4 linked regions of the Diceros bicornis minor genome follow. The protein of the gene in region 4 binds, or shares a complex with, the protein of the main gene of each other region. Links are inferred from orthologs where the notes say so. Each region holds a gene or a part of one and is shown on either strand. Other genes may lie near its edges.

Region 1 (7,878 bases), on a different chromosome or scaffold from region 4:
ACCACAGCATGGCTTACCAAGCAGTACTTCGGTGCGCGCCCGGGATCCGAACCAGCGAACCCCGGGCCGCCGCAGCGGAGCGCGCGCACTCAACCGCTTGCGCCACCGGGCCGGCCCCTATATAACTTATTTTTTATAGCTGCATACTAGTTCTTAGAATGGATGCATTATTTATTCGACTAGTCTCCTAGTTTCGGAGATTCAGGCTGTTTCCATTTTTGTTACTACTTTAAACAACGCTGCAATAAACATTCTCGTACATCAAGCCTTCCTACTGGTGCTTTTGTTTCTGTAGATGGATTCTTGAAACCTGCCTGGTCCACGGGCAGGGAGGGGTGGTTTGATGGTGATAGACACCAATCCCTCCTCCTGTCCCTCCCCCTTGCCTTGACCCAGATCTGGGGCTCCTCCCCCAGGCCAGCCAAGTGTGTCCCCTCCTACCTGGCTAACTGGCCTCTCCTCTCAGTTGCCCTAAAGCCCAGCTCAGAGCAGGCCCCACCCCCTGTTTTGATCCACCCCTGTCTACCTTGTTGACCTTTCCAGCTGCCTTCTGTCATCCACCTAGCAAATACGTGCCAGGCCCAGGACACTGGGGGTAAAGTGGTGAGTAAGATAAAGTCCTGCCCTCGTGGCGCTTACATTTGGGGTGTGGAAGATGCTAAAATAAGTAAAACATATCGTATGTTAGATGGTGACAGTACAGGGATGGAGCAGTGTGTCTGAGCAGGATTTACAGTTTTAAATAGGGTAGCCAGGGAGGACCTCATGAAGAGGGTAACGTTTAAGAAAAGACCCAAAAGTGGTAAGAGCCAGCTGTGCAGATATTTTGGGGAAGAGCTTTCCGGGCAGAGGGAAAGGCTAGAGCAAAGGCCCTGAGGTGGGAATGTGCCTGGAGTGTCTGAGGAACAGCCAGAAGGCTAGGGGGCCAGGAAGATGGAGCAGAGTGGAAGTAGGGGTCAGAGGTCACGGGGGGCAAGAGGAGTACAGGGCCTTGCAGGCCTCCAGAAAGACTGGCTCTTACTTTGTAAGGTGGGAAGCCACCACAGGGTTTGAGCGGAGGAGTGGCATGACCCCTTTGGCTGCTGCTGAAAATACAGTGTTGAGGGCAGGGGCAGAGGCGTCAGAGGCGGGATATGGTCTGAAGGTCAAGCACACAGGACTGCTGATGATGTGGGTCTGGGAGAAAGAGAACGGAGTCAAGGAAGACTCTGGGGTGTCTGTCCTGAGGAACTAGAAGGATGGAGCTGCCATTATTTCCCACTCCCATCCCCTTCTCACCCCTCTACCTGGAGCCACACCACAGCTTTCTCTCTCTGTTGTGAGGAGATGCCATGCCTCCTAGAATGTCCCTCCTGCTCCGTCCACTCCCTATTTCTGGCTGTCCAGTGCCAAATGCTACCTCTTCCTTTGGCCCATTCTCAGCAAATAATTATGGCCCGAGGAATTCTGGAAGCTTAGGTGAAGGAGAGGAATTTGTGGCTTGCAACAGAATTTGAACCAGCCCTCAAAACAACAAGTAGGATTTGGTTAAGAGGAGAGAGGAAGAGAGGGGATTCTAGGAGAAGAAAGCAGACTCAACATAGTGCTCGGAGGCAATTTTTTTTTTTTGTGAGGAAGATCGGCCCTGAGCTAACATCTGCCAATCCTCCTCTTTTTTTGCTGAGGAAGACTGGCCCTGGGCTAACATCCATGCCCATCTTCCTCTACTTTATATGGGACGCTGCCACAGCATGGCTTGCCAAGTGGTGCATCGGTGCACGCCCGGGATCTGAACCGGCGAACCCCGGGCCGCCGCAGCGGAGTGCGCGCACCCAACCACTTGTGCCACCAGCCCGGCCCCTGGAGGCAATTTTTAAAAAAGAAAACTAAGGAGAATAAAACTGCCAGGTGAACCCGTAACTTGTGTTGGCCTAACCACTAATGTAATTAGTCCTTCAATAAATGTCGAGCACCTACGAGCTGGGGCTACCGTGGTAAACAAGGCCGACACAGTCCTCGGTCTCCTGCTATTTACTTTTAGTGGACTTTCTAGCACATTCTCTTTGTAGTCATGCTACAGGGGACACCAGATTATTAGTACATTACTGAGTGTGGAGATTGAGTTGTGTGATTCGGCTGTGTTGTGGCTCTGGCAGCCTGAGTTGTCCTTGTCCACAAGGAGAAAGGAGATCTGACTTCTGAACTGGCCTGATGGAGCCTCCCTCCCCCAGCCAGTGCTGGGCAGGCACTGCCAATATTTGCCTCTCTGACTTTCCCTTCCCTATGCTTCTTTGGTTGATCAGATGCTCTCCTGATAAGCACATTCCTTCCTGAGAGAAGGCAATAGCTTTCAGTAGATTCAAGTAAAACTTAGCAGGCTTGGACCTTCTGACATTCTCTCTGTTAAAGACAACTTTACAGGGCCAGCCCAGTGGCTTAGCGGTTAAGTGCGCGCGCTCCGCTTTGACTGCGCAGGGTTCGATTCCGGCCGCGCACCTACGCACCGCTTGTCAAGCCATGCTGTGGCGGCCACCCATATAAAGTGGAGGAAGATGGTCAGGGATGTTAGCCCAGGGCCAGTCTTCCTCGGCAAAAAGAGGAGGATTGGCAACAGAGGTTAGCTCAGGGCTGATCTTTCTCAAAAAAAAAAAAAAAAAATTATAAAAAAAAAGAGACAACTTTACAGATCTCTGTTCTGATCCACTAAATGTTGATTCAGTTAAATCTCAGAAAGCAAGGTTGTTTTCAAGATCGTAGAGGGCAGCTTGCTATTGTGCCCATGGAATTCCACTTTTTGTTTTCCTTAAAAATAAATAATACAACATGTGGTCAGAGGTGAGCTGTGGAAACGTTTTGCATATTTTTCCTAAGTTGGAATTCTGCCAATTACCTTGTTTCTGCTAGCTAAGCTATGAATGAATAAAATGATGAATAAGACACACACAGTCCTCTCCCCTGGAGGACTCACATGGTGTGTGTGTAGGAGGGAGGGACAGATTGCAGACTTGACAGTGTTGAGACTATGTGGCTGGGCAGGAAGTCTCTATTGGGCTGTGATCTCTTGAGAAGGTCGGCTAGAGCTGGACTGCAGGAGGCTTGCTGTGTCAGGACCCATGTCTGGGGAAGAGGCAAAGGTCCCACAAAGTCAATTCCCCAGGAGCAAGGGTCAGAAATACTATTCAATTTTTTTTTTTGGTCTTTTTAAATGACCTCTTTTTAAAGAGGTCCCCTGCCCCTTATGTAGAGGAGTATTAAAAATGTGGCCCAGAACCCCTCTGCCCAGGAAGCCTCTGTGGACTGCCTCTTACTTTTCATGGTGTCCATGATGTGGCGCTGTTGGAAGTTAGTCAGTCTGGATTCCTTCATCATCACTGCAAAATAAAGCATTCTATGAGGCCTCCTGGGCTGTAGGCAGATGCCCTCGTCTCCCTCTATTTAAAGTTAAAACTGTATCACCTCCTACCCCCATTCTGCACCTGGTTACTCCCACTCTCCCTTTCCTGCTTAATTTTTTTTCTGTAGCACTTATCACCATCTAAGTTATATATATTTTACGTATCATGTATTACCTTCCTAGTAGAATATTAGCTCCAGGAGAGCAAGAATTTTTGCTGTTTTTTTAAAAAAATTTTTTACTGCTGTATCCTCAGCACCTAGAACAATGCCTAAAGCACACAATGGCCTTTTAAAAATTTTTTCTTGAGTGAATGAATGAATGAACAAGTATTCATTAAGCATATGCCAGCGGCTGGAGCTACAATTGGGAGCCAAAACAGGCACAATCCCTGCCCTGATGGATTTCACGAGCTAGAGGGTTAGAAGGATATTAATCTAATGGACACACTAAATATCTGATCACAGGCTGCACTAAGCCCAATGAAGGAAAAGGTATTTGGTAGTATGAGGGCACATAACAGTGGGTTCCACTGTGGTGGTGGTGGATAGGGAGGAAATAAGGCTTCCCTGGGGAACCTGAAAGTGTGATCTAAGGGATGCATAGGAGTTAACTCTAAAATTCTTAGTTCTTTGACTTTTGGCCACTTGCAAGTTGTAGGATCTCTGAACCTTTCTGAACCCCAGGCTTCTTATCTGTAAAACTAAAATAGCAATCGCTAAGCCATACATAGGTCATGTAGGGGAGAAGTGAGTTACACAGGGTAACTGTTACCACTGCTCTTCTTGTGTCCTTCAGCGCACTGACCTCTGAGCAGCTCACAGGTCCTCCGGGAGTAAGTGGCCGGCTTGGGGCAGCGCCAGAAGCCTGTTCCTTTGGTCACTGCCTCCACCCTCTCCTGGGAAGCCATGGGAGGACCTTGAGGAGGGAAAACGCAATGACACATCCATGTCTCCCAGGTCCAATCTTTGCTCCCGCATCCCCCAACACCATCCCAAGTCTGGGAGCGGGGTTCGGGCCGCAAGAGACTCCTGACGCCGCCCGTCAATACTGTGACAGTGCCCGATTCTCCTACCCCGAACAGATACACAAGCAGATGCACACACACGGGAACCGAGACCTTAGCTGAACCCGGCGCCTGTGGCAGGGAAGTCCCCTTAGGAGGAAGGGGGCATTAGGATAGCGGTGGTTACGACAGAGCCCATTGGGTGATACGCCAAAACTGAAACCTCACCCTAAAGTAAGACCCCGGCGGGGTGCCCCTGTCCCCACAGAGAGCGGCGCGGGCTCCAGAGACCGTAACCACTGCTCCACCGCGGCACCCTCACCGGGGCCCCGCAAAAATACTTGGAGATCTCTGGCACCAGAGCCGGCAGCTAGACGCTCTGGCTACCATGGTAACGAGCACGCGTCTCTGGGCGCATGCGCACATATATCGCTCCGGCTTGCCTCCCGGAAGTGATTGCCTCTGGGTCACGGCGCAGGCGCAGAGTAACGCGTGGCGCCGCTGGAGGAGAAGGCGCGTTGTGGACAGGTCGCTGCGTGGGTCAGAGGTGCGGACCCGCGTCGCCGCGGCGCGGGCGTCATGTCAGACAACGAGGACAAGTGAGTGCGGGAGCGAAGTGGCCTTTGCGGTGTCTCGGAAGGGGCGGCTGAGGCGGGGGCCTGGGTCAGAGGAGGCCGAGGAGCCAGGTCGAGGGGCAGTGTCTGAGGGGCTAGGGGTGCTGAGGGCCCGCGGAGCTGGAGAAGGGAAGGGCGGTGAACCGGGAGCATAGACCGGGCCAGAGGCTGGGCACAGAAAGCCCCAGGCTCGACGACCAGAAAGGATCAGTGAGAAGGGTGTCTTTCAGCAGACTTCCACTGACCCCGCCTCTGTGTCTTGTAATGGGAGTATTGAGGTGAATTAGGCGTAGCCCCTGCTCTCCAGGTGCTTCTTTTCTAGAAGAGGGGACAGGCCCGTAAACAGATAATACGGGGTCGCGTGAGATTACGTAGTAGATGTAGTATAGAGGTAATCCAGAGGAGGGTCAGGCCAGGCCTGGAGATGGTAGAGGTCTGGGAGGTGTGAAGTATCCACGTGGGAGAAGGTGGCGGCTTGTACTAGGAGTCGTGAGAAGTGGTTTTGAATTCTGGGTTTATTTTGAAGCTAGAGCCAAAAAGATTTCCTGACATGGGGGGTTGGAGGAGATAAAAATAGGGCAATCATCAGCCTAAGTATATTAATCAGAAGGAAGAAACAGGTGAGCTCATCAGGGGAGAGTCAGTAGAGAAGAGGAGATGACTGACCGTCAGAGCATTCCAACATGGAGTGCTGGTGGGGGAAAGAGGAGAAACCAGCAACGGAGGCTGAGAAGGAGCAGCCAGGGAGGTTGGGGAACACCAAGAGAGTGAGGTGTCCTTGCAGTCACATGAGGAGAGTGTACTGAGCGAGAGGGAGTGACCTAGTGTGCCAACTGACAGATCACGCCAAATGAGAACAAGAATAGGCCATTGGGTGTAGCCACGTGGAAATCATTAACGAGCTTGAAAGGAGTGGTTTTGACGGAGCTGGGGAGGTGCAAGTCTTCTTGGAGTGAGATTATGACAGAATGGGAAGAAAAGAATTGGAAACAGTGGAGGTGGATGACTCTTTCATGAATTTTGCTCTCAAGGAGAGCGTGGAAATAGGGCTCCGTGGGGAGGGAATAGAGAAATGAGTTTTGTTTATTAAGATGGGGAGATAACTACATGTTTATATGCTGATGGGAATGATCCAGTAGAGAGAGAAACAGTGATGATGAGTGAGTCCTAGCAAAATTTAGGGGCTGATGAGGAAAGGTTGAAGGAGTAAATGGAACAGAAGTTTGATTCACTCATTAAGTAGATGTTTATTGAGTGCCTCTAACATGTGGGGTGAGACACAGATCCCTGTCCTCTTGGATTCTAGTAAGTGATGCTTCAACTAACTGGCCTCTTCTTCTCGTACAGTTTTGATGGTGACGACTTTGATGATGTGGAGGAGGATGAAGGGCTAGATGACTTGGAGAAGGCCGAGGAGGTCAGTATTTAGCTGTGGGCTCCTGTGTCTGCAGCCCAAGCTGCCAGATAGCCCAGCGGTGATAATTGCCTGAATGCATCTCCCTCCTGTTCATGGTCAGGGCCCCTGCCACAAGCCCCCCCCGGTTAGAGCAGAGTTCCAGTCCTGGGTAGTGGAGAAGCCCTGCAGGTGGTCCTGAAGGCTTCTGTCCACTTGGACCACAGCCCATGGCTTCTGGGGCAATTAGTTCTCTGAGGGGTGAGCAAGTCAGTGAACACTTGTTGAATGTTTATTAGGTGCCGGGTGCTCTGCAGGGTGGGGCTACATAAGGAGCAAGGAGGAGAGTGACCTGGGATAAAGCTGGACAGGTTAGGGCCCAGATCAGGCAGGCTATTGTAGCCTAAGGGTAGCGGGAAGCCACTGACCAGTTTTGAGTCGGGGAGTGGCATGATCCAGTTTACACTTTAGAAAGAGCATTCTGGCCTCAGAATGAGGAGTGAATTGGGGAGGAGCAAGAGTAAAAGAGAGAGACCAGTTAGGGGACTTGCATAGATCTCCAGGTGAGAGACCTGTAGCTTGGACTTGGATGCTGGTAGTGTCAGTGATGAGAAAACATGAAAGAGAGATTTTGGTGGATTGGGTGTGGGGCTGAGAAAGTGGGAGATGGCAAAGATGATTCCAAGCCTTCTGGCTTGATCATTTAGGTGGATGGGTTACCAGCTTCATGAATAAAATAGGGCTTTCTGTCCTGTGTGACTGATGGAGGAAGAGGTGCTTTGTGTCTCCTGGAGAGAGAGTGATCCCTCGATTTTTTTAGTCTAGGAAGCTGAAGCTGTCTTTTTGGATTTCCTCTGTCTGCATGGCACTCTCGGGTCCCTATTCACTGAGTCAGAAACCTCCTTCTTCATCCCTCTGGTCCCTTCCATGCCTGTCCTGTTGATTCTGCCTCCTACATGTGGTTCAGCCCTGTTCCGTTTCTCCATTCCTAGTGCCGCAGTCCGGTTTAGATCTTCATTGCTCTACACCCACGTGACTGCAGAAATTGTGTTACTGGTTTTCCTGCCTTCAGTCTGCTGCGTTTGCCTTCCTGCTGCCAGAGTCATCTTTCTTACCTGCCTACCTGATCGATTACTATTGGTCTCCCTAAATGGTCTCTCTGCCTCCACCCTTGCCCCCTACAGGATATTCTCAACAGAGTATTGAGGATGATCCTTTTAAATCTTAAGTCAAACTGTGTCTCTCCTTTGCTTAGAACCCTCATCCAGTGGCTCCCCGTCTCATTCAGAGTAAATGCCAAAAAGACGTACAAGATCCTCCATGATCTGGCTGCCTGCTTCCTCTGTGACCTTACCCTTTCTAGCTTTCCCTGTCATGTCAGGCAGACCCCTGCTCAGGACCTTTGATCATGCTGTTCCCTCTTCCAGGCACACTTTTCCCTTAGATATGCACAGGACCTGCCCCTCACCTCCTTCAGGTCTTTGTCCAAGTG
Region 2 (7,902 bases), on a different chromosome or scaffold from region 4:
TTTATGGCCGAGATTTTTGTTTCTATTCCTAGTCTGGTCTTTTATCCTGAGTCCTATAACTGTTCACTTATCTTGTTCCTTTGGTACTCTGCTCCAGCTCCTTAAAAGTGTTCCATTGGTTCCCTGCTTGATCTCCAATTCCTGAGGACGATTGATCTTCCTTGCCGTCTTGTTTTCTGTGGACTGCATTCCTACCCTTGAATTGTTGATCCCTCTTCCATGCTGCCTTTGCTGCCAAACGCCTGTCAGGTCTTCTGCCTGTTGTTGGCACCTTCTTTTTCCATTCCACCCTTAACTGTCCATTGGACTTAGCCACATGGAGCTCTTTGATGAGTCAGTAAAAGGGGATTTGGTAGATTGATGGGCACTGAAGCCAGAATGCAGGCGGCTGGTATAGACTTTCTAAGAGACCTGGCTTTGAAGAAGTGCAAAGAAATAGTATCGTAGCTTATTTAGATGCGAGAGACTTGAGCATATTTATAGGTCAAACAAAATGATCCAGTTGAGAGGGAGTAGGTGGATATAGAGGTGAGAAAAAGAAGAAGATAGCATAAAGTTATGAGAAAGCAGAGAGGCAGCCATTTTCCACTATGAGAACAGAGACAGAAAAGTGAAGTGAGCAGAAAAAGAAAATGAGGAGATGTAAAGAAATATGTAGAAACAAGAGTTGGAAGGAGTACCTACTGCCTTGGTTCCAATCTCCTGTGAAGCCCAATTATGCAAAATATTTTAAGACATTTTCAATTGACTTTCCCTTTTTCTTTATATTAGCCCCAGCAAGTTTCTAAGGCTTGCAAACAAGAAACTTTTTGACCATGACATTACTGTATTTCAACTCATCAAACTTTTCAACGCTATTTTTAAAGGGCAGGCTCTTGACTTAAGTCTATTGTAAGAAATTCCAGAATCCCTAGTACATTTGGAATCCACTACTCAAGACTTGTTTTTCCTCTATCTCTAAACAGATGATTTCGCCTCCTGCTTCACAGAGAAAATAAGAAGCCACATGAAGGAACCTCCTTCCCCCAAAATATATGTTTTTTTCCTTGTACCTTATCTCTTGGGAATTTCTGCTACATTCACATGGAAAAACCTTCTGAGAGAAACAATATCAGCTGGGTGTGCTCCTCCAATAACAAGTTTTCTGGTTTTCTTAATCTTCTTAAGATATAATTTAACAATCCATTTGATAGTCTGTCAGGTATCTTTCATTTTGGATAGAACTTCCCATTGCAGAAACATATTCAAATGGAAAATCCTAACGGTTTGCAACTACATTGTTTTTGCACACAACCAAGTTTGCTGCTTGGGCTAACGTTACCAAAATATTTGAAAATGCCAATTCTCACAAATTATTTAGCAGCTCTCTCTGCTTATATTTGCTTATAAAATCAGAAGCCATTAAGCACATCTATCAAAGGCTGCCTCAATATTTAAGTCCACCAGTCTTCCTTGTTCCCCTAACAAAATATTTCATTTAATTGAAATCAAGTTCAAAGGAACGTCAAATTTATCTCTAAGGGAAAACCTCACAATGACAGGAGGTGGGGCATGTGTGGAAGGGACTGAGTAGGCTTCTCAATTAGCTGCACCCCCCCCCCCGGTGGGGCTGGTAATTGTCAGAGATATTTCAGTGTATATTTCTATAGATTTTTTTTTTGCAATTTTTGGCTCCAACCTGTTTTCTGGTGGCTTCTCCGTTGAACAGTTTTGGCTCGATGAGAGCTGCACTCTCATGCCTTTCTGTACCACTGGCTATATTCCTCATGGCATTTCCTGATCCATTTTCATCTTTTAAAAACCCAACTTTTTAGAACTCAGTTCCCAATCCTATTTTAATAAAGGGTTGATGCCAATGGTATGACTACCAACACTGAATTTTGACCCAAATGGGAGCTTCTTAATGCTGTTTTATTAATTCAGTGATTTTCCTTTCACCCCCCCCCCCGAGTTTTATTCTTCTATCACTCCCCATTGTCTGAAGTGACCTGCTGCCATACAAGATCCCCCTTGTTCTGACACTGACAGTTCTTCATGGAGTCAACCACTGCCACTCTCCTCATCCTGTCCTCTAATCTAGTCACTAGCAGGTCCTTTTCATCTGCTGTTCCATGGGCCCAGATTTCCTTTCTTTCTCAACTACTTACCAAATCTTCCAGCCTTCAGTTCAAAAAGTGTCCACCTCTTCTCCAAAGCTTTTGCAAGGGGCTCTTTAGTTCTATTCCAAAGGGCTGGCCACTCTTTCTCCATTGTTTTGGTAGTGCTTAGAATGTTTCTATCAGCTTTGTTCTTCCTGTAATATAATTATCTATCTCTGACTCTGCCACTAGATTGCAAGCTCTTACAGTGCAGAGGACCCTGCCCTACCCATCCTTATATCCCTGGCAATCAGCACAGTACCTGACTAACAGGATTCAGCACGTAGGGAATGAATGAATAAATGGGCTTTATGTTTAAATAAATCATGTCTTCACCTCCTGGGTAATGACTTGCCATGGTCTCTATTATGCTAGCTCACCCCAGATTCTGCCTACCACAGTATCCTCTGCCCAGATATTTCAAACAAGCTGATTTACTAGAAAAGCACTTGGAAAAACTGGCTCTATCACCAGCCTAAATTTTCCACTTTTTGCTGCTTTTCCTTGTCTACTAACTCGCCCCTTTTCATTCATATATTTCTTTTGCATTTTAAATCTGAACGACCGGGTTTCCATGCTTGTTTGGGTAGGAACTTATAGTACAGTATGAAAGTAAGGGAAGAAAACTGATAGGACAGTAAATCATGATGTTATGTGGCACTTTATGCTTATAAAGCACTTTATTGCTTATCTCATTGGAACAACTGTGTGAGGAAGGTTTTATTTTCCCTACTGTGGATCCTAAAGATAAGGGCTTCTTCACATCAGCCAGCCAATATGTGGCAGAGTTGAAACCCAAAACTAATCTCGCAAGTCCAAACTGAGTACTCTATTGAGGCGGGGCCAGAGTGCTTGAGGGCTAGGAAACTTGGACCCTTGTCCAGCAGACAACAGGGAACGGTCGTCCTTGACTCTCCAGGGTCTTTAGCACCCTGCCCTCCTTTTCTGGGAACCTTTTGTTCAGACTTTAATGAAACTTTATTTTATGATGCTGCCAGGTGCCTTAAGAGGGCATGTGGGTGACCTTGTCTAGAAGGCAGTGGAGAAAAAGTTCTGGAAAAGGGGATAAATAAAATCCTGAATTTTATTGGAAGGGTATTAAAAAACAAATTAAGTAAATAAAGATATTTTAGTACCTCAACTGAAATATAAGAACAAAGAAAGGTTGACTAAGATTGTGCACAGACCGAATGTAAGAAGGTATAGTGGTATATTATCAGCTGTTTTTGTATTTTGGGCCTAGCTGTCTGGGACACAGCTCTGTTTCCAGCAGTTAACAAATGTCCTCCTTTCTTTCAACAAATATTTATTAAGTCTAATATATGCCAGACTCTACAGAACAGACTTATGGGTATAAAACCCTAATGGAATATATTATATATTCCCTGATAAAGGAATCATGGGCTCAGCAACAGACCTCCTTTGGTAAGACAGACAAAATAAAAACCAGCTAAGTGAAATTATGGGGCTTGTCACTCTCCTGTAACTTGCTCAGTTTTAACCCCTTCACTATTGTGTGTCTTTCCATTATTGTTGAGACAGGCAGACCGGAGTCTCTCTCAAGGAGAGACCACAGCTTGTCTCTTTCAGAGGAGAAAATAGTATGGCTCCAGAACTTTTATATGTAAGGAACTTAGTACAGCTATCTAACTGGGTAGGGGTGCAAATGTTAGGAAGCAACTAGGAAACTCATCTAAAAGCTGTCCCTGGAGGATAACAAGTTTTTACTTTAGATTGTAGGGTACACATGAATTAAAATAGCAAGATTTTCTAAAGATACTTGTTCGCATGTTTTATAAAAGATTAAGGAAATGTCAACTGTCCACCTAACGGATGACGATGATGATTTAAGAGTTGGTTGGACGGGAGGCGGGGAACGAGGTGGAGGTGGGTGCGCAAATGAAAGCCAACCTCGACCTAAGTTTTAGTGAAATCCTACCCAAGGCTGCTCCCCTTGACTAGCCTCCCTCATCTGGCATCCGTCTAAGGAGGAGGGAGTCCCAACCTCTTCTGTTCTTCCACCTCCAAAGTCCTGAGCCCCCAGTGTCCCACTTCATCCCTGTTTCCCTTCTTCCCAGGGAGTAAGCATGCCTCCTCCTCCTTCACCACTTTTTGCCCGTTAAGCCGACTCACTCCTTCCAAGAGCAGGAAACAACCTCCAAGGCACGTGAGCCAGGCTGGGCTCTGCAGAGCGCTACAAGTGTAACTCAGAAAGTTTAGCTTTGTTTTTAACCACTGCGCATCCGCAAAAGGGGAACTATCGGCTCAGGAACCGCAGGAGCTGCAGTTCTCTAGTCAAAAGAAATTAGTATTCGGTAAGGTTAGTACGATTTTCAGGGGGACGGCCCTCCGCGCCTAGGTCCCTGTGAGGTGCAAGACCAAGAAAAATAAATATCCCAGGATTGGGTCTTGAGGGGAAAAGTAGCCGGAGGCCCAGCATCGATTACCCGTTTTCTTATCCGACCATACAGAACCAGGCTGAAGAGAGGCCCGGCCTGCACCTTCAGAGACGTTCCTCTGCCTCTCGAGGACTGTCAGGGTCACGTTTGCGATTAATTATGACGTCACAGCCAATCGTGAGCCGCAACGCGTGGACGCTCTAGCCCGCCGCGCGCTCGCTTCCCCATTGCCCGCGCAGGGCCGGCGCTCTAGCCCGCGGAGTTGGCTAGCTCCTCTCGCCTGCCCGAGGAAAGCCACTGAGTCAGGGGGTACTCGACGCAGGCTGGGAATACGGGACCCTTGGGCATACGAGGCATGCGTGGGAGGAGGGCTCCGGTTATGTATGCTTAGCTCCAGGGACAGAATAGAAATGACCCCTGAGTGGGGAGGGAGCTACTCGCTTGTTAATCAACTTCTTATTCCCTTCTCAGCCCTCGACAGCCTGTCCGTCATGGACCTCGCCGGCACCTCCTCCAGCTTTCAGTCGGACCTGGATTTCTGTCCGGATTGCGGCTCGGTCCTGCCTCTGCCCGGGGCTCAGGATACGGTCACTTGTACTCGCTGTGGCTTCTCCATCAACGTGCGAGGTGAGGGGCTTGTACGCAGCTGCCCCGGCGGAGGGCCCGGCATGGAAGGGTCGGAGGCTTGGGGACCTCAGGATCGGTGGGATCGGAGAGGGGAACCCTAAAGCAGGAGATCAGGCGCTCACACTTTTGGTCTTGGGACTAAACCTGAAGGGAAGGATGTAGGACCTCCTGGCCTAATCAAGAGGGAGTTGCGGGTGTCAGCTCCCTCCGCTTGTTTCCGCAACCGATTCTTACTGCCTGTGCAGACTTCGAAGGGAAAGTTGTGAAGACCTCATTTGTGTTCCACAAACTGGGGACAGCCATGCCTATGTCGATGGAGGAAGGACCTGAGTTCCAGGGACCCGTGGTAAGTTAGTTACATCAAGCATGGCCCCCCAAGGAGCGTTGGGAAAGAAATGGAGGATGATTGCTGAGACCTGTGGAGTTTTGTAGCCAATTCTAAGAGGGAAGAGGGAGCTTTAGAGCAGCAGTGTCTGAGGAGTGTGATAGCCTGATTCCTATGAGAAGTAGGGGGGATACGACTAGGCCTCCCTAATCCACTAGTTGCTTCCCAGGTTGACAGGCGCTGCTCTCGATGTGGTCACGAGGGAATGGCATACCACACCAGACAGATGCGCTCAGCTGATGAAGGGCAGACTGTCTTCTACACCTGTACCAACTGCAAGTGCGTATCCTTTCCCTTCCCTCTGCCCTGTCTCAGTCTGTTTGCTAACTAAACAAATCCAGTGATTTACTTTTTGTACCAAAGAAGCAATTGTTTCCTTTGGTCCCATCCCTCATTTCTGTACAGTTCAGATAGTAGGGAGATTTGTGGTCGTTTTTTATTTTTAAAAATTACACTTTTCTTATCCTTTTTATAGCCAGTGAACTAAACCTTTTAAGATATTTTAAAGGAAATGGAAAAATACAGAAGGCAAGTATTGCTTAGTGGTCAGGATGTTATGCTGGAATCTTCTGCTGCACTCAAGGTAGTTTTATTTTGGTGAGAATTAATCGTGCCTAATTTAAAAAACATGGGCTCTCTTAATGGTTTTGAGAACTCCTCTTGGTCTTTGGTGTTCTGCAGTTTCACTACAATATATCAAGATGTGGCTTTCTTTTATTTATCCTGTTTGGGATTTGTTGGACTTTCTAAAACTCAGGATTGACTTTTTTTTCATCAACCTTGGAAAATTATCAGCCATTATCTCATTGAATATTGCTTTTTCTGGAGCTCTAATTAATTAGTTGTTTAATAAACCTTCTCTTTCACCCTCCATTTCTCTCACCCTGTCTTTCATATTTTTCATCTCTTTTTCTCTTTATGCTGCCTCTGGGTAAATTCTTCAGGTCTCTCTTCCAGGTCACTAACTCTGTCTTCAGTTTATTTCAATTATTGTTACTTTAGAAAAAGTTTTCTTTTGAGTTCTACTTGATTATTTTTTCAAATTTCCTCAGTCATTATAATTCCCAATTCCTTAATCATATTTTAAATTGCTCCTTTTAGTCTTAAAATGTTACTTTTAAATATATTAAACATGATGATTTATACTGTGTCTGATAATTCTGATACCCATCATTTTTGTGAGTCTGATACTGCTGTCTGTTATTTTTGCTGACTCTCTCATGGTGCTTTTTTTCTTTGTTTTGTGATTTTTGACTATAAGCTTGGATTTTTTAGAGTCTGAAGTATGGGAATTCTTTGAGGCCTGGGGTGAATGCTGTATCCTCAGCATCTATGTTTCCTGTTCAGGTGCCTTGAGGCACTACCGAGCCGGAATTACTTTAAATAAATTCTTGGCTTCAGGTTTTTTGGAGCACATAGGTAGTATAAATTCGGGCTGCAAATCCATATAAGGGCCAGCTTATGGTTAGAAATTCTCAGAGAAGATTTTTTCTCCCTCTACCTTGTGAGGTAGTCAGATTCCCCTTCTGCAGAGGTGGATTTTTTTTTTCCTTGTTCACTTTTACACAAAGGAGTAGCCCTTTGGGTGGCCCAAATTTATGCAGAGTATCTCCATTCTAGGTTTCTAGTTCCTCCCTGTGGCTGTCAAAACAGCAAGGGCACTATGGTAGCAAGGACTTGAGTTTAACTTACCTGTCTAGATTCCTGGTTTTACATCATTTTACCCAGTGTGAAGGTTGCCTTTACTTTCTTGCCATCTCTTCAATGGATTAAAAATATTTATAGTTAGATATATCTTTTGAGAGGACTTTTTTCCCAATCTGTCCTTTGTATTTTTTTAACTATTTTTTTTTTTTATTAATGAGAAGTTCTTAAGTTTTGTGAGGTCCAGTTTATCCTTTTTTTTTTCTTTTATGGCTAGTACTTTTTGTGTCCTAAGAAATCTTTGCATATTTCATAATTCATTCGATTTTTTTTTGATGAGGAAGATCAGCCCTGAGCTAACATCCATTGCCAATCTTCCTCTTTTGCCTGAGGAAGATTACCCCTAAGCTAACATCTGTGCCCATCTTCCTCTATTTTGTATATGGGATGCCGCCACAGCATGGCTTGATGAGTGGTGCAAAGGTCTGTGCCCAGGAATCCGAACCTGCAAACTCCGGGCTGCCAAAGCGGAGTGTAGGAACTTAGCTAGGCTACCGGGCTGGCCCCGAATTCCAGCATTTTTAGTGGTCTTAAATTTGGAGGATTGTTTAAGGGAGCTAGTCCTCCACAGTGTCATAAGTGAAAGTCCTTCCTTGATTATTTGTGTGTCTCATCTTAAATTGCTGGAACCTCTTCCTTTGTTCAAATA
Region 3 (7,559 bases), on a different chromosome or scaffold from region 4:
TGGCCCCTAAACTGGATTTTATTAAAATAAAAAACTTCTGCTCCGTGTAATACAGTGTCAAGAGAATGAGAAGACAAGCCACAGACTGAGAGAAAATATTTGCAAAAGACACATCTGATAACCGACCGCTATCGAGAATATACAAAGAACACTTAAAACTCAACAATAAGAAAACCAACAACCTGATTGAAAAATAGGCAAAAGACCTGAACAGACATCTCACCAAAAGATATACAGATGGCAACTAAACATATGGAAAGATATTCAACATGATATGCCATTAAGAAATTGAAAATTAAAACAATGAGATAACATTACACACCTATTAGAATGGCCAAAATCCAAAAACACTGACAACACCATTTGGAAAAATCTATTAATGTCCAATATATTTATATTCTATGATACAGGAATTCCACTCCTGGAAATATACCCAGGAGGAATGAATGCATATATCCACCAAAAGATATGCACAAGAATGTTTGAAGCAGCTTTATTCATAACAGTCAAAAACTGGAAACAACCCAAATGCCCATTAGAAGTAGAAAGGATAGGGGCCGGCCCGGTAGCAAAGCGATTAAGTTTGCACACTCCGCTTCTGTGGCCAGGGGTTCACAGGTTTGATCCAGGCGTGGACACACGCACCACTCATCAAGCCATGCTGTGGCAGCGTCCCCTATAAACTAGAGGAAGATGGGCATGGTTGTTAGCCCAGGGCCAATCTTCCTCAGCAAAAAGAGGAGGATTGGCAACGGATGTTAGCTCAGGGCTAATCTTCCTCACAAAAAAAAAAAAGAAGGAGAAGGAGAAGTAGAGAGGATAAATTGTGGTATATTTGTACAATGGAATACTACATAGCAATGAAAAGAAATGAACCACTACTACATGCAACATTATAAATTAATCTCAGGCATAATGTTGAGTAAAAGAGGGCAGATGTAAAAGAGTACATACTGTGTAATTCCATGTACATGAACTCCAAAAACAGGCTAAATTTATCTATGGCAATAGAACTCAGAATAGTGGTGACATTTGGAGGGGAATATTGACTTTGAGTGAGCTAGATGCTAGAAATATTCAATATCTCCATCTGGGTGGTGGTTACATGGTATATATATGTAACATGTATAATATGTATACATTTATAAACATTCATTAAGCCGTACACTTAAGATATGTGCACTTCATTATCCGTAAATTATACCTCAGTTAAAAAGAAAAAATAAATAAGGGACAGTAGATCCAAAAAAAAAAAAGAGGAAGAAGTCTTTATGTCACTATCTTTTTTTATTTTCCTAGATATAGTGCATATTTATTGTAGGATTTGTGTAGGTAACCATCTAACATACATAAAACTGTGCCACCATTTTTATTAGGCTCTTATCTTTTTAAAATTATTTTATTAAAGTCACATTGGCTTATAATATTGTGTAAATTTCAGGTATACATTTATTTTTTTTTTTTTGGTGTACTTTTTTTTTTTTTTGCAGGGGAAGATTTGCCCTAAGCTAACATCTGTTGCCAATCTTCCTCCTTTTTTTCCCTCCCTCAAAGCCCCAGTACATAGTTGTGTATAGTTGTAAGCTCCTCTGATTCTTCTACGTGAGCTGCTGCCACAGCATGGCTACTGACAGACGAGTGGTGTGGTTCCGCACGGGAACTGAATCCGGGTGGCAGCAGTGGAGCCATCAAACTTTAACTACTAAGCCATCAGGGCTGGTTCCGCGTGTATATTATTACATATTTTATGTCACTATCTTAAGTAAAAATTTTAAAAGAACATTTCCAATACACATTAAAATACATAACTTTGAAAATAATATGTTGATCTGTATACCATCTAAAATTACTCCATGAACACCAGGAATTCAAGTACTACACTTTGGTTAATACATTCCAGGCACACTAGGGGTTTTATAGGAGTTGGTGCTGGAGTACTGGCAGCCCAGGGAAGGGCCGGAGCCAAGTGGAGAGTTTGTAGCTAGGATTATACCCTGTCACCAGCCTGGGCTGGGGTTGTGGAATGCTGAGGTTCTGCTTCAAGGCACAGGGCAGAAAACTGGAAGGGAAAGGCGGATGAATTGGGAGGGGGGCAAAGAAAAAGGACCAAGGGCCGATTCCCTCATGCTCTGGCCCACAGCCGGAGTCCTAGACTCCTGACCTCACCAGAAACACAATACATGTAAAACAAGTCAATAGGTTTCCAAGCGGGAAGAGTGCCAGCCATGATTTTTGCTGCCCGAAGAATGAAAAAAAATCAATAACAATCTTTCTTATGATTCATGTTCATCCCTTTTTATTCCAAAGCATTTTACCGAAAGGCGTCTTGGCCCAGCCAAGAAGCTCAGGGCCAGGAGCCAGGACACCCGGACTCCAGATCTGTGTGTGGAAGATTTGGAACTTTCTTGGGGTCTAAGTTTCTCCCACTGTAATTGTGGCAAGTGACATTGCGGAGTATTTTACATTTTACATACATCATCTCACTTGACCTTCAGACTCCTGAGGAAAGCAGAGAACATAGGATTGCTGTTCTAATTTTATAGACAAGGAAACTAGGATTAGGTGAGGTTAAGAAACTTGATCTCACTCACACACTATTAAGAAGGCGGGGAAGCTGATAGGCTGGGAAGCTGGGATTTCTGACTCCAAACCCTCTGCTGTTTCCTAGTCAATACAAGAAAGTCGCCCCGGGGGCCGGCCCGGAGGCACAAGCGGTTAAGTGGGCGTGCTCCACTGCGGCGGCCCGGCATTCACCGGTTAGGATCCTGGGTGCCCACCGAAGCTCCGCTTGGCAAGCCATGCTGTGGTGGCGTCCCATATAAAGTGGAGGAAGATGGGCAGATATTAGCCCAGGGCCAGCCTTCCTCAGCAAAAAAGAAAGAGGAGGATTGGCAGATGTTAGCTCAGGGGCCAATCTTCCTCAAAAAAAAAAAAAAGAAAGAAAGAAAATCGCTCCCTGCTCTGCTCTAAGTACAGAGCAAGATAGCTTGATCCTACACAAAATGCCTTGTGTATGTTCCAAGGGCAGGGCTGGGTTTGTGGGGCCGAAACTTGTACAACCGTGCGGGGGGTGGGGGCACGGACGGTCGGGGACGGGACATGAGGTCGCGGACTGGACATGACACTCTTTAACAAAAATAATGTCAAGTGATGAATCAAAATGAAGTACAGGGCCTCGGACAGGTCCTGAAAATGAAGGGCCCTGAAGCTTCATTAGCGTCAAGGTAAATCAGCTTCTCCTACATGCCCTGCCCACAGAAAAATCCGGACACACCAGATCCTGACAGGCTTTTCTTCCCTATTTGTGAAACGTGGCAGATGCAGGCTGTGGAAATCCTGGGAAAGGAATCTCATTTCTCCCAGGAGACAAGAGGAATTACAGCAGCAGCGAGGCCGTTGTGTGAGGATGAAGGTTGTGTGCCAGGGGAGAGTCCAAAGGGGCTGGTGACCCAGCTGGCCGAGTTGTGGGCGGGAGCAGTGTTAGTGTGGGAGACTGGCCGCCTGGGAGCCAGGAGCAATGGCGCTGCCCGAGGAGCGATGGCCCGAACTAGGCTCGCCTGTTGGAAGCAGGCGTTCTTCAGACTGGCTTCTGGCTCGCTGCGTCCTGATAACCCTTCCTCTATGGAGGGGAGGCAGAAACAGACAACCACAGCCGGCGGTAGTGGGAGGGTAGATGGAGGTCCCCGCCCAGGCCTTTCGATCGCCGGCTCGCAGGGTCGTGGAGTGCCGGAGGCCTACGCCGAAGCTGCCCCGCTGCGGCTGCGGCGGCGAGGCCCGAGTGCCAGGCTCCGCGCGCGGCTCTCCGCCGCCGCCGGGGGTGGGGGGCAGCGCCCGCGGCCTGCTTTCCCAGGGCTGGTGGAGCCTTTTTGACACGCTGATTGCGTGGCAGGGATTGGCTGGTCCGGGCGTGACGCCGGTAACAACAAAGGTGGAGTTGGAAGAAATTAGATTAAAGGAGAGGGGAAAAAAAAAAAAAGAATTAAAGGGGGAACTGGCAGGGGACAGGAGGCAGAGACCGAGCGGGAGATGAGCGAAGCGCGGTCTCCGGCTTCGACTTCGCCCCGGAAGCCCCTTCCCGCAAACCCACCAGGATTTGGCTCTCCGCCCCCACCCCGGCCGGCCCAGCTAACGAAGCCGGGGTGGGAGGGATGGCTGGTGCTTCTTGAGAAATTCCCCCAACTCCCACCCTGACACCCCTTGCTACCGGCCAGGGGGAGAACTTTTTGCTCGGACCCCTCGGATTCCAAACCCGGCGGAGGTGAGCGGCTGAGAAGGAGAGGCTTGCTCTAAAACCCGGAAGGCCCTCGCGGGGCCCCGAGATCGGACGAGGCGGGGTGCTCCCCCGGTTTTTCAATGTGTTGCAAATCTAAGAGCTTCTTTCTTGCTTTTTTTTGTAACACTCCCCAAAGTCCCCCCCCCCCGCTTTGGCTTCAGGGTTGCAAAAGCAAAGAGCAATAAAAAAAAAAAAAACCGCGCACACACTCAGACACACACCAGTGGCGACAAGGGAGAGTTGGGAAGACGCAGGAGAGAAGCAGGAGGCAGGAGGCAGCGGGGAGGGAGCAATGGGAGCGGGAAGCAGGCAGGTTCCCTCGCAAATCCCTCTCCGGCCCCACGTCGCCTCGCCGGCCCCGGCAGGGGAGCAAAGAGCCAGGCGAGCAGATGGAGGAGTGGAGCTCGCTTTAGGCAGCGGGCTTGGCCGGAGAATGGAGGAGCCGCCAAGCGACCGGCTGATTGGAAGAGAAACGCAGAGCGATGGAGGCGGGGGTAGGAGGAAGATTTCTCTGCGGGGACTGGCGGCGGCGTATACGCCCGGGTCGGGCGCTGCAGAGCTTGGCTAGCTTTCAACCCGCGCTCGCCGGCTCCAGCCCCGCGCGCCCCCACCCCCAGCCCTCCCGGCGGCTCCGCAGGTGAGTGCGAGCTGGGGGCAAAACGACCCAAAAGTCTCAACACGCCCGCCCTGCCAAAAAAAAAAAAAAAAAAGAAAGAAAAGCATTTTTCTTTTTTTATTTTCGTGCAGCCCCCAGCGCGGTGGGAGGGAAGGGGTGAGGCTGAGCCGCCCGGAGGAGGCGGAGGGGCCAGGCGAGGCCGGGGTGGCCCGGGAGGCGGCGGCGCCGAGGCGGCTCTGACGGGCGAGCGCTCGGAGCGGCGCTGCGCTGCGCCGAGGCGGGCGGGCGGAGCGGGGCGGGCGGAGCGCGGCGCGTGGGGCTCGCCATTAGCCGTCGCTCCGCTTCGCCATCTCGGGCTTTGTCTGGCGACTCGCTGCCCCGGCGTCGGCTGCGGCGGAGCTGCGGCTCGGCTCTTCGGCCCGCAGCACCCCTAGGTGCCCCTGGCCCGCGCTCCCATTCACACGCTCGGTAAGTGAGCCCCGGCGCCGCGGATTTCGGGGGAGAGGGGTTGCTGCGAGTAGCGGCAGCGCCGATCTCCATGCGCCCTGGCAGGCCTGGGGAGCCATGCCGGGCTGGATTGAACCGGCTCCCAGAGAGCTCCTCTGCCGGAGCCCGTCGCCCCCTTGCCGTTTCCGGGGTGTAAAAAGCGAAGGGGACTTTTTTTTTAATTTGCAGGGAAGGCATTTTGTAGAGGTGGTGTTTTTTTTTTTAAGTTTCGTGTGTGTGCTGTTTGGCAGCGAGGAGACCGCGAGGTAGGCGCCGAAGCTTGGCGCCGCGATCGGCGTGCCTGAGCCCCAAGCCGGTGGCCACGCTCCGGGGAAGAGTGTGGGCGCGGACCGCCCGCTCCGGGAGGCGGGAGAGATCTGGCATGGAAACCCGATTCTGAACTGGGAGGACTTGGGGGAGAGCTCCGGAGCAGGGCTACAGACACCCCCTGAGTCTCCCCGGCCACCGGGGGGCCCCTTCGGGCACCCTCTCTGCGGCCGCGCCTCGCGCTCTCCCTCCCGCGCCGGCCGAGCCTGCTAGTTCCCCCGCGGGTCTGGCGAGGTCGCTCTCGGCGCCCGCCCGCCCGCCTCGGCTCCGAGCCCCGCCGCCATCCGGGCGGCTGCGTGTCTCCCTGCCCCGGCCCCCCCTTCCCGGCAGCAGCAGCAGCAGCCGCCGCCGCCGCCACCGCCACCACCACCACCACCACCACCACCACCACCCCCCTCCCCTCCTTCCTTCCCTCCGCCTCGGCCGCCCGGGTCCCCCCAGCTCCCGCCCCTCCTCCCAGCTGCCCCCCGCGGAGCCCGCCCGGGCAGGCTGTGGGAGGGAGCGGAGCCGGCGAGGCGGGCGGGCTGGCGCTCGCTCCCCGGGGGTCGGTGTGCGCTCTACGGGGAAGGACGCGCTCGCTGCCCCGCTTCTCCCGCCCCCCCTCCCGCTCCTCCTCCTCCCTTCTCCCTCCTCCTCCCCGCTCCGGCGGCGGAGGCTGCGGCGGCGGCGGGGGGTGTGCGAGCTGAGGCCGGGGCCGGCGGGCGGGCGGCGGGCGGGCTGCCTGCAGGCGGAGGGCGCTGTGCTTTGTGCTTTTCGCCGCGAGGAGCAGCAGGCAGCAGCCACAGCCGCCGCCGCCACAGCAGCAGCAGCCGCCGCCCCAGCGCCGCCGCCGCGCCCGGAGGAGGAGCCGCTGCCGCCGCGGGAGGGAGCTGCGGCTGTGCCCGGCCGAGCGGGGGAGGGCGCCGCCGCTCAGAGCCGGGGAGGGAGCCGCCGGAGCGGGAAGGCCGGAGGCCGCGCTGCGCCGGGTAACCGAGGTGGCTGAGAACGCGCGCCGGGGTCGGGTGGCGGGGAGCGAACCGCGGGTGCGGTAGCCGCCAGGAGGGGACCCGGGGTGACCTCCGGGCAGAGGACTGGGCGAGAGAGAACCAGGGCACTGGAGAGGACGCCGAGAGCCGGGGGAGGGGAGGGCAGGAAGCGAGGCCCGAGCCGAACCCCGGCCGCAGGCGGAGGAGCCCGCGCTTCTCCGAGCCGCCAGACGCAGTTCTCGCCGGCCGCCGGAGGGGGCGGCGGGGCCGGTGAGCGCTGCTCCCCCGCCTCCCGGCCGTCGTCCTCCCACCCTCTCCTTGGCTCTGCTCCCCGGAGGCCGGGGCGGGGGCGCCGGCAGGGCTGGGCCGCAAGCTCAGGGGAGGAGGCGGCGGTTCCCGCCGTGGTCGCGCTTCTGCGCCGGGCTCCTCCGTGCGCGTCGGGGTGGCTGGGCGGTGGCGACGCTTCTGGCCGGGGTGGGTGGCTCGGGGGCGGGGGCCAGGCTAGGCCGCTTCTCTCCGGCTGCTTGCCCGCCCGGGCGGGCGGGGACGGCGTCGGGAGCCCGAGAGGGGGGGCGGCGGGAGTCCGGATCCGGTCCCCGGGGGCGGCGCGGCCGCTGCGCTCCGGGGCCGGCGGCGGCTGCGCTGCGTCCGGGTCCCCGCCGGGTTGCGGAGGCGGGGGGAATCGGCCGGGGGGGAGGCGGGAGGAGGAGACTGCGGCGCGTGCCCGCTTCCGCGGCCGCGCGCGCCCTTTACCCGCCCTTCCTCCTCCCCCTTCTTCCAGCCTGGGGCCTCCCCGGGGCGGGCTCACAGAGGAGGAGGAGGAGGAGGAGTTTTTTTTTTTTTTTTTTTTTTTTTGGCTAGGGTGGGGGAAGGAGGGTGGAGGGCGGGCGCT
Region 4 (7,016 bases):
TTCTCACTCAACTTAACTCTCAGTTCCACGGGGGCAGGGGTCACATCTGACTTATTCACGCTGGGTGCCCCCGGCCTAGGAAGGTGCCTGACACAGCACAGGGCTGTGCAATGAGTATTCACTGAACAAACAGAGGAATGAAAGGCCGGGGGAGGGGGAGGTAGGAAAGAGCAAGCCAACAGCTCCCGCTCACTAAACCCTCTGCGGATGGTAGGGCGCCCCACGTACCCCAAAGAAGGGGATTCTGGCTGAGTCTTAGCAGACTTATGCTAAAGCCACCCCACTCTGTGCTCCTGCTAGAAAAGGGGACCAAGTGAAGGTGCCCACCCTGGAGCCGCCAGGGCTCTCCCCACCATCCTCACCTCAGAGTTCTGGGGCAGGGACTCTGGCAGGGTCAGTGCGTCTCTCCAGCTGCACATGAAGGACATGTCAGGGACATTGCTCAGACCAAGGAGGCCGGTCCTAAACAACGTGGGGCGGAGGGAGCCGGGGAAGTCCATCCTAGAAAACAAGAGCCATGCGTCACACTGGTCTTCTCAGAGACCTGCATCTGACAGTGGCTTTGAGGGTTCCTGGGAGAGTGAAAAGTGTCGTAAGAGGGGTATACTTTCTCTTTGGGGAAGCAGATAATAAAGAACAAATGAATATACAACCTAATGCCAGATAGTAATAAGTGCTATATTAAAACCAATCAACCAACCGGGAGGGAGGGAATGGCAATGTGCTGAGGGTGTGGTTTTAGCAATGGTAGCCAGGGAAGGCCTCATCAAGAGGGGCAGGTTTGGCACAGCCTGAACCTAATGAGGGACAGAACCATGAAGACCATGGAAATAGGGTTCCTGGCAGAATGAACAACAAGTGTAAAAGTCCTGGGGCAGGAAGTGCTTGAGAAAGCACCAGGAGGCCACAGAATGAACAGGAGCAGAGGGGTAGGGGATGAAGTTAGACAGGTGGCGAGGGGTCAGCTTCCAATAAGCTCTACATATTATAATTACACATTTGAAGACTACAGGCCCTACGTCCCAGGCTACACTCCCAAGACTAACTCTAGTTCCCCCAAAGCCAGGGACTGAGTCTTATTTGTCTGTCTTCCCACTGTCAAGTACATACCTTCCAAAAATGCACTGACTGTATTGAATAAAACTAAATTTAGCCCAAAGGGCTTTGGTAAATACAAAGTGCTCTAGAAGCATAAGCAGCCATAGCATCCCTCTTTTTTATTAACCACAAAAATGACAGTGGTGCTCACTTACTGAGCACCAGCATCTGCAGCCATGGTACCACATGCTTTATTCTCCTTTGGAGTCCAGGAGACTGAGGCTCAGGAGAGAGCAGCCTGCCCAAGGCCAACGGCTGGATTCTGATTCCAAGTCCGAGGTCTGAACCACCGCTCTCCCGTGCATCCAAAAGCAAACCCGAGCTTTAGAGCCTTAGTAAGCAGAAATGCTTTCCTTTGGCGCTCCTGCGGCATCCTATCAGCTTATTCTGTAACCTCCACACATCCGTGTACCCTCACCATCACGCAAAGTGCCCCCATCACACAGTCAATACTTGTTAAATGATGAATACGTGTTTCTCACGGCATGTCAGCCTCATTCTAATTGTGGTTCACATGCACAGTCTTATCTTCTCCACTACACTGAGAGCTCTCCGCGGGCAGCCACTGTATCTGCTTCATTCCTGAGCTCCTGGTGTCTGGCTGCTGCTGCTATTCCCTTCTCCACGACAGAAGAGGACAGTGCCAGGAACCAAGGTGGTGATCAATGAATCCTTGTGAAAACGCCGGCTTCCACAGGACTGGCTGTACCGACTGCAGTTAAGGGGCACCCCAGCCTCCCAAGGTGGCCGCACCCCTGATAAGTCAGAGATGCACACACGCGCACACGCGCGCGTGCGCGCGCACACACACGTACGTCTCCAGCTCGTCTGTTGTGCCTGGGCTCCAATCACACTGACCTCCTTTGGATTCCTCCTCACCATACTTCTTTTCACCACAGGGCCTTTGCACACTCTCTCTCCACCTACAAGGAATGCGAGCGCCCTTCCTACCACCTCAAAATCCTACTCATCCTTCAGATTTCAAGTCAGGGAAGCCTCTCCCCGTTCCCCCAACCCTATCCTCCCACCACAGCCTGCATGCTTCCTCCAGAGCACGCACTGCAATGTGTCATTACATATTTAAAGATGCAACTGTTTGATTCAAAACCGCTCTAACAGTCCCCACGGGAAAGAGACTTTATATACCCCCAGGACCTTGGTATTCGCTACATGGTAACAATCAGTACATATAAACTGAAAAAGCAAATCCGGGAATGAATGAATGAGAGAAGAAAGGAACCAAACAGCCTCAAACAAACCCAGGCAGGCTGAGGGCGCTGGGCGAGCCCACGACCTCAGAAAGGCCCTTAGACAAGGCAGCCTCCGTTTCCCGCCTTCGCCCTCGGCTCGCCAGGCCCCTTTACACCTCCAAGGCTGCAGAAGTCAGTCGGGTCTGCACTAATGCCAGGCTGGGCATGACAAAAAGCGAGCCTGTCGCAAGGGTTGGGAGAGGGGATCCGGGTGTTCCCTCCCCTCACACAACTACTGGGCCGCGTCCTCCCCATCCACCTCCTCCCACTCCAACCCCAGGCCCCAGAATTTCAACCCGGCAACAGCAGAGGCCTCGCATCAAGCTTTGTGTGCCAGGCAGCGGCTACCACGCTTCACATCTGTAGGCTCCTCATCACTCCATGAGCTGGGGGCTGCTAATAAGCCGCTTTGCAGATGTTGGGCGACTTGTCCCAAAGCCACGCAGCTCGGGGCCCATGGACCTGAGCAGGGGGACCCTCCACTCCCTCCCGTCCGACGGCGCGCGCACTTACGTGGCCCGGGCCTCGCCGTGCTCGTCTGGGAAATGGACCTCCGCGCGCCGCTCGCCGGACCCCCGTGCCGCGAAGAAGCCCGAGAGCGGCCCCCTAGCCCCGGCGCCCTCAGAAGGCGGCCCCCACAGCAGCGATGAACAGTCTTCCCGGCCGGGCCGGAAGTGCTCCCTCGAAGACAGGAAGTCCCGCCTCCCAGCCTGGCCCCATGGTCGCCCTAGAGCGCCACCTCCCGGGCGGAGGGGGAATGGGAATGGAGGCTGCGTCGCGGGCAGTAGAAATCAAGCCTCGTCAAGTCCCAAAAGTGAAGGATAGGTTGACCGGGATTCGAATCCCACCTCTGCTTAACTAAGTTCCTATTTCACAGGATTGCTGTGAGTATTAAATTAATTCACTCAACAAACACTTACTGAGCACGTATGATGAGCCAGGCACTGTATGAGTCAGTAGGAATCCTATTGATTGTCATTATAGCCTATGAAGCGGGCTTTACAAATAGATGTACAGGTACCCCTGGGAGCGCATGAAGTTTTCCCAGTGGCCAGGCGAGTATAGCTTTAGGCATTGGTTCTGAAATTCCAGCGGGCATCAGCATCACCTGGAGGGCGTGTAAAAACACAGAGTTTCTGGAGCCCGCCCTGTGGCTTAGCGGTTGCGTGCGTGCACTCTGCTACTGGTGGCCTGGATTCGGATCCTGGGTGCGCACCTACGCACCATTTGTCCGGCCACGCTGAGGCCACATCCCACATACAGCAACTAGAAGGATGTGCAACTATCACATACAACTATCTGCTGGGGCTTTGGGGGAAAAAAAAGGAGGAGGATTGGCAATAGATGTTAGCTCAGAGCTGGTCTTCCTCAGCAAAAAGAGGAGGCTTGGCATGGATGTTAACTCAGGGCTGATCTTCCTCAAAAAAAAGAAAACACAGAGTTTCCCATTCAGTGAGTCTGGGGTGGGGCCTGATAATTTGCCTTCCTAAGTTCCCAGGTGATGCTGATTCTGCTTGTCTGGAGGGGTCACACTTTAAGAACAACTGTGCAATCATAAATCATACCGTTATCCTAACCCAGCAGTTCTAGACTTCAGCGTGCATCAGAATCCCCTAGAGGGCTTGTTAAAACAGTTCACTGGGCCCCACCTCCAGAGCTGCTGATTCAGTAGATCTGGGATGTGATCCAAGAATCTGCATTTCTAATGAGTCCCCAGGTGATGCTGATGCTGGGGGTCCAGAGACCACACTTTGAGAACCATTACTTTAAAGAATCAATTTCCAAGTTCTCAGCTTCTATGTATATGGTTTTTATCTGGGAGGTGCTCGGAATCAGATGGTTCTCCTTTCGCATCTCCTTTTTCACAATCACTTTTTTCCCCACTATGGAGTATTGCCTGAGAAGGATGCTGAACAAAGGGGCGATTCCAAAAAGCAGAGTTCCTATAGGAGAGAGTCCCTATAAGACCAAGAAAAACAGGCTCAGTAAGGAGTAATGATAGAAGGGTGCGGGGGGCGGGGCTTTTGGGGGCTGACAATATTATGTTTCTTCATCTGAGTGCTGGTTACACGAGTGTGTTCAGTGTGTGAAAATTCATTGAATGATCTGTATGCTTTTTGGTATGGATGTAATATTTCAGTAGTCTTTTTAAAACAGAAAAGAAAAAAAGAGGAAAATACTGCTGGTTGTGACACTTGATCTCATTGAGACTTCAGCCTCTTGGTTAGACTCCATGCCTTTTCAGCTATCTACCTCAGAAATAGAATTCAGAAGTCACTCTATGAAGGCAGGAATTCTTCTCTCTGTGTAGGTCACTAATGTATCCCAAACAACTAGAAAAGTAGATACTCGATAAATATCGAATCAATGGAAGAGGGAACAAAATGACATGGTTCCTCTGAGAAAATATCAACACATTTATTTAAATTGAAAAAATGAAGTCAGACTGTTTCTGATAGGAAAATTCTGGTTTAGCTGATAGGTTTGACTACGATGGTAGGCTTTGCCAATTAGGGCACATGGAGAGCGTTTTTCTTTTCTTGTTTTTTTTTTTTGTAAGAAAGATCAGCCCTGAGTAACATCCATGCCAATCCTCTTCTTCTTCTTTTTTTTTTTTTTTGCTGAGGAAGACTGGCCCTGGGCTAACATCCATGCCCATCCTCCTCCACGTTATATGGGATGCCGCCACAGCATGGCCTGACAAGTGGTGCATCAGTGCGAGCCCGGGATCCGAACCCGGGACTCCAGCAGCGGAGTGCGCGCACGTAACCGCTAGGCCACAGGGCCAGCCCCTGGAGAGCATTTTTCATAAATGGAATAAGCTAAGTCCGCCTCTCCATGGTTTTGGTGAAAATATATTGAAAGTATGATTATACTATATAATAAATCAGAAATTACATCTTTTGTAACTATTTAAGCTTGTGACTAAAAAATTAGTGATATATAATTTTTCAAAATTATTTTAGAAGTATGTATGCAAAAGAAATTGAAGACCATTTATATTAGTTTCCTATTGCTGCTATAACAAATTACCACAAACTTAGTGGCTTAAAAGAACACAATATCATACAGTTCTGGAGGTCAGAAGCCTTAAATGGGTCTCACTGGGCTAAAATCAAGGCGTCACTAGGGCTGTGTTCCGTTCTGGAGGCACTAGGGGAAAATCCATTTCTTTGCCTTTTCCAGCTTCTAAAAGCTGCCTGCCTTCCTCAGCTTGTGGCCCCCTTCCATCTTCAAAGCCAGCAATGGCCAGCTGAGTCTTTCTCATGCTGTCATCTCTCGGATTCTGATCTTCAGTCTCCCTCTAGCCCATTTAAGGACACTTGTGATTACACTGGGCCCACCCAGGTGATCCAGGATAATCTCCCTGTCTTAAACTCAGCTGATTAGAAAACTTAACTCCATCTGCAACCATAATACCCCCTTGCCACATGATGTAACATATTCATAGGCTGTGGGGATCAGGACATGGATATCTTTGGGGGACCATTATTTTTCCCACCACACCACTATTCCCCATCACCCCAGGAGACACCCATCCAGCTTCTGGGCTGGGAGGCCAATTTCATTTCTTCCTTCCTTTCTCTAAACAAGCTGTTTGGTTTCCTTTCGTTACTGATGTATACTTAACATGCAGTAAAATGCAGAAGTCTTAAGTGTACACCTTATCAAGTTTTTACATACATATAAACCCACATAACCACCACCTAGATCAAGGCAGAGAACATTTTCATCACTCCAGAAAATTTCCTGGTGCCGCTTCCCAGTCAATACCCCCTTCAGAAAGCAACCATGATTCTGACTCATCACCAGAGATTAATTTTGCCGGTTCAAGACTTTATATAAATAGAATCAGGCAGAAAATAGTCTTTTTAGTCTGGCTTCTTTCACTCAATATGCCTATGAGATTCACTCATTTTGTGCATGTAACAGTATTTTGTTTCTTTTTATTACTAATAGTCTCCTGTACGAATATATCACCTCTTGTTCATGCAAGTTCCTGTTGGTGAAGTTTCTGGGTTTGTGGACTCTGTTAAAGTCTCTTTATGGATGTGTGCAGCCATCATTCCATTTCTGAACACCAACTGTGTTCCATCTACTAGGCCTAATTTTGCTCTCTGGCTGGGCTACACATGAAAAGAACAGGCTTGTTCTTTCTGATGTCAATTCTGAAACATTCGGGAGATTGAATCTACTCTGTCCCCCACACCTGCTCTTCCCAAATCAAATGTCCCCAGTTCCACCAACCCGTCCTCAAACACTCCAGTATCCACACTGCCACAATCCTGGTCAGCATTGTCAGACCCAAAGGTAGCAATCAGCAGCAGCAGCAGCAACAAAGGTGACGAGTCTTACAGACTGTGAACTGAGTATCGGTCATGTTTTCCCGGGGAACTGGCTCCTACAAGACGCAGTTACATTTTCTGCCCCCTTCCAGCAATTGTGTTGCATCATAGCAGGCCATATGTAAACTGTCTTCATCCGTAACTTCATCTTATTTTTGTTATTTCTCCTTCATCCCTAGTCTCTCATCTTAAAGAATAGCTGTCTTGTGGTAGTTACTCAAAATCCCTCCTGACAGGAAAAAAGGGGGGCAGAGTGCCAAATGGCTAACTTGGCTCGAGAGCACTTCCGGTTGGCTTCAGGAAGGCTACAGTGAACAGTTTT

What was found.
Region 1: TAF1C (region 4) and POLR2F share a complex: the UniProt entries of both Homo sapiens proteins name them as parts of the pol I pre-initiation complex. The link is inferred for Diceros bicornis minor from reciprocal best matches to the Homo sapiens genes TAF1C and POLR2F.
Region 2: TAF1C (region 4) and POLR1H share a complex: the UniProt entries of both Homo sapiens proteins name them as parts of the pol I pre-initiation complex. The link is inferred for Diceros bicornis minor from reciprocal best matches to the Homo sapiens genes TAF1C and POLR1H.
Region 3: TAF1C (region 4) and UBTF share a complex: the UniProt entries of both Homo sapiens proteins name them as parts of the pol I pre-initiation complex. The link is inferred for Diceros bicornis minor from reciprocal best matches to the Homo sapiens genes TAF1C and UBTF.

Annotation. Positions count from the first base shown.
Region 1 is NC_080764.1:11,849,039-11,856,916, reverse strand, and holds the start of POLR2F (DNA-directed RNA polymerases I, II, and III subunit RPABC2), read left to right. Parts: upstream 1-4,870; 5' UTR 4,871-4,958; coding exon 4,959-4,978; intron 4,979-6,340; coding exon 6,341-6,410; intron 6,411-7,878. Other genes in the region: C25H22orf23 (UPF0193 protein EVG1), read right to left, coding at 3,288-3,350, 4,181-4,319. UniProt on the Homo sapiens protein: DNA-dependent RNA polymerase catalyzes the transcription of DNA into RNA using the four ribonucleoside triphosphates as substrates.
Region 2 is NC_080753.1:35,906,487-35,914,388, reverse strand, and holds the start of POLR1H (DNA-directed RNA polymerase I subunit RPA12), read left to right. Parts: upstream 1-4,890; 5' UTR 4,891-4,920; coding exon 4,921-5,164; intron 5,165-5,409; coding exon 5,410-5,510; intron 5,511-5,718; coding exon 5,719-5,828; intron 5,829-7,902. UniProt on the Homo sapiens protein: Core component of RNA polymerase I (Pol I), a DNA-dependent RNA polymerase which synthesizes ribosomal RNA precursors using the four ribonucleoside triphosphates as substrates. Can mediate Pol I proofreading of the nascent RNA transcript.
Region 3 is NC_080757.1:42,828,054-42,835,612, reverse strand, and holds the start of UBTF (nucleolar transcription factor 1), read left to right. Parts: upstream 1-4,550; 5' UTR 4,551-4,910; intron 4,911-5,339; exon of another isoform or gene 5,340-5,357; intron 5,358-6,481; exon of another isoform or gene 6,482-6,676; intron 6,677-7,559. UniProt on the Homo sapiens protein: Recognizes the ribosomal RNA gene promoter and activates transcription mediated by RNA polymerase I (Pol I) through cooperative interactions with the transcription factor SL1/TIF-IB complex.
Region 4 is NC_080771.1:33,271,685-33,278,700, forward strand, and holds the start of TAF1C (TATA box-binding protein-associated factor RNA polymerase I subunit C), read right to left. Parts: upstream 3,010-7,016; 5' UTR 2,862-3,009; intron 502-2,861; 5' UTR 501-501; coding exon 363-500; intron 1-362. UniProt on the Homo sapiens protein: Component of the transcription factor SL1/TIF-IB complex, which is involved in the assembly of the PIC (pre-initiation complex) during RNA polymerase I-dependent transcription.